Linked DNA regions of Oryza sativa Japonica Group. The protein of the gene in region 2 interacts with the protein of the main gene of each other region in a pairwise test. Links are inferred from orthologs where the notes say so. Each region holds a gene or a part of one and is shown on either strand. Other genes may lie near its edges.

Region 1 (3,106 bases), on a different chromosome or scaffold from region 2:
CTTGCAATGTCTTTGGTTCATGATACTCTCACCCTTTCTAGTGCATCTGTACAATTTATTCTGCATTGTTGAGAGCTGAGATCCATATTATAACATAATATGGCTGGGAGTTGGGATGGCTGTTGCTGAGATGTCTTTCTTGTACCTCTTTATCCAGGCATACGATCAACATTTAAACATGATTCTTGGAGATGTTGAGGAGATCGTGACAACAGTTGAGATTGACGATGAGACATATGAAGAAATTGTGCGCGTAAGTGTTTTGACCTTTTGTTGCAAATTTTGTGATCAGTACTTTTGAAAGTCATGCTATAATTGTTTTGGTTAACCCTGACCATTGATTGATGATGGAATATCAATGTGGATAATATGTTTGCTTTAACCCATGCACATGAGTTGTTTGGCTGCCACCTTGTGCGTGCCACTACACATCTATATTGTTGTGCACATTTTTTTCTCAAAGTACCTATGGTGCTTAGACTGCTGGGCATATAGTGCTTAACTGCTGGTTTAGTGTAACATAATTGCGGTTACATACTTTTTATTGGGAATAATCTGATGCTTTGGGACATATTTCTTACTGCTATATTCTGAAATTTCTGGTGAACATGTTGATGCTGTACTAACTATTGCTAAATCGTGTCTTTTTCCAGACCACAAAACGCACTATCCCCTTCCTTTTTGTTCGAGGTGATGGTGTCATTTTGGTTTCTCCACCCCTCCGAACGGCATGAAGTATGAAGGAAGCTCCTGCCGATTGTCAACCATGAGTAATGTGTATTTTTTAATCAATGGCATGTGTTATGTGCTGAAGTGCTACTATTTCTGATGGATTCTAGTTTTAGCATATGATACAATTGTGTAACAATTTCTGATCGAGGTGCTAGTTTCTACTGTCATGTTGAATCAACCTTTTGTTACCAGATTAATCAACTCAATCCCGAAGCACTAATATTTGTTGTGGTGATGTCTTGCGTAATTTTTGTAGATCCACATGCCAAGAACACCCTGTTCCAATCTCTATTAAAAAAGAGCCAGCAAGTTGTAACATTTTTACAGCGTATATGATTCACATCACAACACCCAGCCAAACAGGGAACGTATCACCGTCCCAAGACTTATCACAGCCAAACAGCCAAACAGCCACACGGCAGCGGTGTCTCCAGGGCTTGCAGAAAAGACACATTTTACATGATCATTTCATTAGCTACAAAAAGAGATCTATAAACTATTCACTGACCAGCAAAGTCAATCTTCATTCCAGCCATGCTTGAATTCGCCCCAAATCCTCACGCCCGGTCATGAAATTGTATCCATCTAAAGTTCTAAACAGCAAGCCAACAACACAAAAAGTACGACACAAAGTATTAGCCAAAAATATTCGAATTTCTTCGGGAAACATGAATGGATTTAACTAAATTTCACCACATAGAAAAGAATGAATTTAGCGAAAATTCACCACCATAGAAAAGAGAATGCCCGGGATCAAACCGAAGATTCGATTCCCAATCCAGCGGAGAGATTGGGAAGAACAAAAAACCTTTTCATGATTCCCAATCCACATCAAGTAGGAATATTTCTGGTAACTGAAAGAGGTCAAATAAAGGAGAGGGTGAAACGGCCGGCGCCATCCCAAGTCGTCTTCCTCCTTCGCTCAACCCGCAGAAGAACACAGATTCGAAGAGGCAGAGGCGGCGAAGAGACGCGCGAGCCATGGGCGTCACCAAGGAGGATGTCGAGGCCGCCATCACCTCCTCCCTCAGCCCTTCCAGCCTCGTGAGTCTCTCTTCCCTAAACCCTCGCCGCTTATCCATCATCCTTTTGCCGTTCTAAACCCTAACTGCCGCTTCTGCTTTGGTTCCACGGTTTCAGGTGGTGACGGATACTTCCGGCGGGTAATTCCTCACCCCCAAACTCCAATTGTTCTTCACCTTTGTATAGGAGTATTTAATTTGCTTGCTTCCATTGTTACGAACGAAAGAGAAGAGATCTTGTGTTTGGTGACTGGTTGATCGATTGGTGTGAAGGTGCGGCGCGAGCTACGAGATTGAGGTGGTGTCGGAGAAGTTCGAGGGGAAGCGGCTGCTGGAGCGGCACCGGATGGTGAACACCGCGCTGGCGCCGCACATGGCGGAGATCCACGCCGTCTCCATCAAGAAGGCGCTCACCCCTGCTCAGGCGCAGCCCCAGCCGGAGCCGGCCGCCGATAAGGCGCCCCAGGCTTAAGTAGTTCTTGAACTCACACCTCCAAACTGTTCGATCACATATGCACCACGAGTGAACCGATGCACTTGGTGTAGCGTTTGTCATGGGTGTTTGAGATGTGCGTCAGCTCTCTCTGCTTGAATAATGTGCATACAATGGCAGAATTGGAATGATACTATGCTTGACTGCTTAGAAATTTCAGTAACTTTGCGTGCTTCCCGCGTCATGTGCTTGGCAGTTGATCCTATTTCACAATTTTGCCAATAAATTGCCGTCTAGATAATGATCCTATTTCGCAACTTTGCCGATAAATTGTCATCTAGTTAATATTTAGTCCTAGGACTTGGATTGTTTTCCCCTCGAACTAGGTTGTTTGATTGTAGAGATAAAGTGCAGTTGCTTCATGATTGATCTAGTATTGTTTATTGCTGCTACTATAAGTTGACTGGCTCACAGCCTGACATAGTTGCTAGTATCTACTAGGGGTTCTATAATGCCACATTGTTTTACTTGAGCATTTAGTCTCTGTATTTTTGGTGAAGCCGACAAATATTAAGAATAAACTATTCTCACTGCTTGCTGGACCAATAAAACTGGATATGATCATACAATTGTGTTTGGTGCTAGGTGTATGATGGCTTTTAGTTTATGTGATAAGTAGTTCTCAGCTAGTTTGGGGACAATAAAGTGGTAACTAGTTTAAAATCATATCGTTGTGTTGTAAGTGCATTTGCTGCTTGCACTATTAATTTCTTGGAGATCTGCATGCATGCTGACATCTGATAGAAAATGAACCACTTCCCTTCAGCATTTGCTTTGCTTCTTTGGTCTGTGTTGGTTTCGACTTCCTTTAAAGTGAATTCTATCAGAAGGCCTGTAAAAATGATTTTTATAGGTTGAT
Region 2 (4,256 bases):
GTCTGATCCGCCAACCAGTTCACCGTTTATGTACAGTTGAGGGTAACTAGGCCAGTTTGAGAGAAGCTTTAGACCCTGCCTAACCTCATCATCCGTAAGAATGTCAAAACTTGAGAAAGGGATCTTCTCTTGCTTAAGAATATGCACTAGTTTTCCACTGAATCCACACTTGGGCTCCTCAGGTGTACCTTTTATAAATGCCATCACTGTGCTGAAATTAACAAGGCTTTCCAAGCGTTCCTTCTGAGCTGCAGTAAGCAAAGCTGGTTCAGAAACTGCACCACTCTTCTCAGTATCAGGCTTGGCTTTCACTGCCTCCTCGTTTTTGCTTCCCTGTGGCTGCAGCGGAATGTTGTGCTCCTTAAAAACATCCTTCAGTTCACCGCTTTCATGCATAGCAATCACAATATCACATCCACCAAGCAGCTCACCTTTGCAGTAGAGCTGAGGAAAAGTCGGCCAGTTTGAGAACTTTTTCATTCCTTCACGTACATCGTTATCTGTTAGGATGTCAAAGCTCCCAAATTCAACTCCTTCCTGCTTCAAAACGTCAACTACTTTTCGACTGAAACCACACCTTGGTTGCTCAGGGGTTCCCTTCATAAATAAGAAGACGGGATGGGAATTGACAAGCTGCTCCAATCTCTTGTTCAATGCATCTTCTGCACTACTAGTGGCAGAAGCTCCATTTTGCTGTGCCATCTCTTGAACCTTTTCAAGTACAGCAGGCCCAGCAGCCACACCCAGGCTAGCAGGCACAGCAGACTCAGCAACGCTGGCAGGCCCAGCTAACTTTGCAACCTTATTGGCCAAGCTGGCTGGATTTGCACCCTCCAGAGTATCAACAGTTTTACCTTCCTGCAAACCCCAAAAAAACAAAGACACAAAGATGACAACCTCTTTAAGTAAAAAGCATCATACTGATATTTCAAATAATTTGCTAACAAATATTCAGCAATATACTAAAGGACCTATGCATGCAAGCTTTAATAGTAATAATCATATGATCAGGTGCATTGGTTCAAGAGCACAATTCACAGCTCATACTGATTGTAAGTCCATGAATTGAGAGAGACTGTGTGTTACACCATCAGACAACACACCTCATCAGATGTCATAAGATACATTCATAAGGAGTCTTTAGTGCAGACAGTTATGGTGCACTAAATTACACAACAAGGTAGAATCTTTACTGCACCTCTAAAAAATGGTAACTTCACTGTAGGCAGCTAATGTCAGTGGAGACAATCCAAACTCATTACTTCAGGGTATATGAGCAAGCAAATCTGATCACTATTTTGTGGAATAAAAAAATTATTGCACCTCTCATCTTGTTGGAAGAATACAAGCTACTTATTCAGCATTATAGCCATACTAGCATTATACAAGGCTAGAACTCATCCGCATCAAGTTAGTAAGGAAGAGTATCATGATCCTACCAGAAGTTATTATGCAAAAATATATAACTATGTGAAATGGTTCGTGTCAGAACAAATTATATAAAGGCAGTTGCGAATACCTTCAAGAAAACAAAATATGGCACTGCTGTAACTCCATATGCCTCTGAAATTTCGGGTTGTTCCTCAGCTTCAACCTGACAAAAGTTACTAGTGTATGAGAAAACAAACAAGCAAATGATATAGAAGTCAAATTCTACAATATAATACAGTGATTAACAATTACTAGAGAGACTAATAGGAATATAAGTAATGCCCAAAGAAAAATAGTCACAAAGAAGAGCTACTGAATTATAACAGTATTTATTATATAACACTCAGTTTGATGGTATCACTCAATGAAACTACAGAATAATCCAGTAGCAAAACGAATCATAATTATGTAAGGGACTGGAAATATTTATATTTTGTCTCATACTCTTGAGTCTTGACAGATTTCAGAGTCCACTGAGAACTCAAAAGGTTGCAGGACATATTCTAGCGCTAAGAGTATGGTTCCTAGCACAATAGCAACTAGTCAGACATGCAGTAAGCTACAACCCAAGGTGGAATAAACAGTGAATCGGTGCTAAGCAGGAAAATGATCAGCGCTTAAGGATGTTACACAACTACCTCTTCAGGAGTTGCATTCAACCAGTAAGTCAAACTGGATAAACAAGTTGGATGGGCAATCAAAGAATTGTACGCTAAGCAGGAAAATGGTCAGCGCTTAAGGATGTTACACAACTACCTCTTTAGTTAGTTGCAGTAAGTCAAACTGGCTCTTTAGTTAGTTGCAGTAAGTCAAACTGGATAAACAAGTTGGATCGGCAATCAAAGAAGAAGAATTGTACTTGATAGTTGATACATCCCTACACAATACTATGAAGTAAAAGAAACAACACCACAGTTACAAATCAAACACAGAAGTAGAGCAGCTTCAATAGCATTTATCCTACACAGAACATCGAAGAAATAATCACTATCAATAATTTATATACTATGGGCTCTATATTATGGCAGAACTCCAGGCAGCCAGGTTAGTATCAACCTCTCAAAAACATATACCTACTTCCCAGATATATAAAAGCAAACTAATTCCAAATCTACTCATGATTCTTGAAACAAGATTCACAATTCATCATCCGAAAAACATCTCATATGAATCTACTAAAACAAATGGTAGGAAATACAGTATGTGAAGCCACCAGCAAGCAAGTCACTGTAACCTTCCACCAAAATCCTTACCACACCATAACCCTAAGCGAACTAAACAGCTCAAATCTACCGCGATCGGGGAGGACACCAGCAGTGGCACGAGCGCACGCACGTACCCGGAGGAAGACGGCGTGGGAGAAGTCGACGGCGAGGTGCGCGAAGACCTCGTCCATCTGCTTGGACGCCTCGCACCACGCCGCCCAGAAGTGCACCGCGGCGGCCCGCGCCCCTCCCGCCGCCGCCTCCAGCTCCGCCTTCGACCCCACCTCCCTCACCGCCGCCATCACGCCCTCCCCCCTCCCCTCCCTTCCCTCACCGGCGACGACGAGAGATGCAGCAGCAGGCGGCGGCGGCGGAGGAGAGATGAGAAGACGACTCGCGGCGGGGGGGCTTGCGGCTTGGGGTTTTCCTCTGCTTTCCTTTTTTTTTTTCGGTTTTTTTTCTTCTTCTTTTTTACCTCCCGTGACGAGGTGCGAAGGCGACGGAAGATTCCAGAAGGGGCGGGCGGGGCGGCGGGTGGGCCGGAAAGTCTCCTGGTATTTGGGCCGCTTCGGGCCCACTCGTTAGGCGAGTTGGACTTTTTTTTTTTTCTTTTCTGAGCGAGACGCGGTGGTGGGGTCTCGGCGCCGCCGGGAGCGCGGCTGCGGGTCGGGGGAGTGAGGCTATAAAAGGGGTGAAAAAAGGGGAGGGGTTCACCTGATGGGGAAATGGACTCGCATGGCCAGAAACCCTAGCCTCCATCCCCTCCCGAGCCTTCGCCGCCGCAAGTAGATCTGAGACTCTCTGTTTTTTTTCCCCTTTTGTATCTGAATCTCTCTGAGCAATCCAGCAGGATCAGATCTGTAAGGCGTAGGAGTAGTGATCTGAAATCCGTCAGCAGTAGTTGATACATCTGGGTTTTTTTGGTTATTGTTGTTTTTTATGTGATTTTTGTGGTTTGTGTGTGAGTTGGGTGAATCAAGTGGATCGATGATGCTTTTCAAGAAATACTGCGTTATCTTCCTGATTACATGTGAGGCTGTTGCTATCATGGCCATGGCCTCCTGATGACACAATTATCTTGCTGAGATCCAAGTTGCGGTAACTTTGCCCTCTTCTTTTTTTCTTCTCTTCTGAATTTTTTCATGGTTTTTGGGAGAGATTTTCGTTACTTGATTACAGTTCTAGGAAAAGGCCACCTTGTTCAAACAGGGCTTTCTTGAAAGGGATCAATTTGCTAGGAGTACATGATTCTAAAAGCGATTTCGAAATAAAACACAGTTCTCGATCTCATACCTGAAAACAAAAGGCCCATACTGTGTAAACTGTGATTATGCTTCTGTTAAAATGGGATATTTGTACAAAATTGACGCCAATCACCTATAAACAGATTGTGAGCTTTTATCTTAGTAAAATAAAATGTGACATTCTACTCAGTGTTCAGTGATCCGATGTCGTCTCTTCTGCGTACAACTTCTAACAGCCGTTTTCGGTAGTACAAACTAGCGAAACACCAAAAACGCAGCATTTGAGTTCTGGAATACGCTGAAATTGTTAGAATCAACCACGAAACCAAAATCATTGTTCAGAAACGTTGCAACGAGATAAAACACAAGAACTTGT

The links.
Region 1: the proteins of monothiol glutaredoxin-S11-like (region 2) and protein BOLA2 interact in a two-hybrid assay, tested with the Arabidopsis thaliana proteins (2 studies listed by BioGRID). The link is inferred for Oryza sativa Japonica Group from reciprocal best matches to the Arabidopsis thaliana genes GRXS17 and AT5G09830.

What each region holds. Positions count from the first base shown.
Region 1 is NC_089035.1:38,152,973-38,156,078, reverse strand, and holds protein BOLA2, read left to right. Parts: upstream 1-1,634; 5' UTR 1,635-1,713; coding exon 1,714-1,776; intron 1,777-1,872; coding exon 1,873-1,895; intron 1,896-2,027; coding exon 2,028-2,226; 3' UTR 2,227-2,431; downstream 2,432-3,106. Other genes in the region: sm-like protein LSM3A, read left to right, coding at 158-253, 654-734. UniProt on the Arabidopsis thaliana protein: May act either alone or in interaction with glutaredoxin as a redox-regulated transcriptional regulator, or as a factor regulating Fe-S cluster biogenesis. The GRXS17-BOLA2 heterodimer binds a labile, oxygen sensitive iron-sulfur cluster.
Region 2 is NC_089044.1:19,787,796-19,792,051, reverse strand, and holds the start of monothiol glutaredoxin-S11-like, read right to left. Parts: upstream 3,068-4,256; 5' UTR 2,939-3,067; coding exon 2,771-2,938; intron 1,595-2,770; coding exon 1,520-1,594; intron 859-1,519; coding exon 1-858. UniProt on the Arabidopsis thaliana protein: May only reduce GSH-thiol disulfides, but not protein disulfides. Participates probably to the maturation of iron-sulfur proteins and to the regulation of the redox state of the BOLA proteins.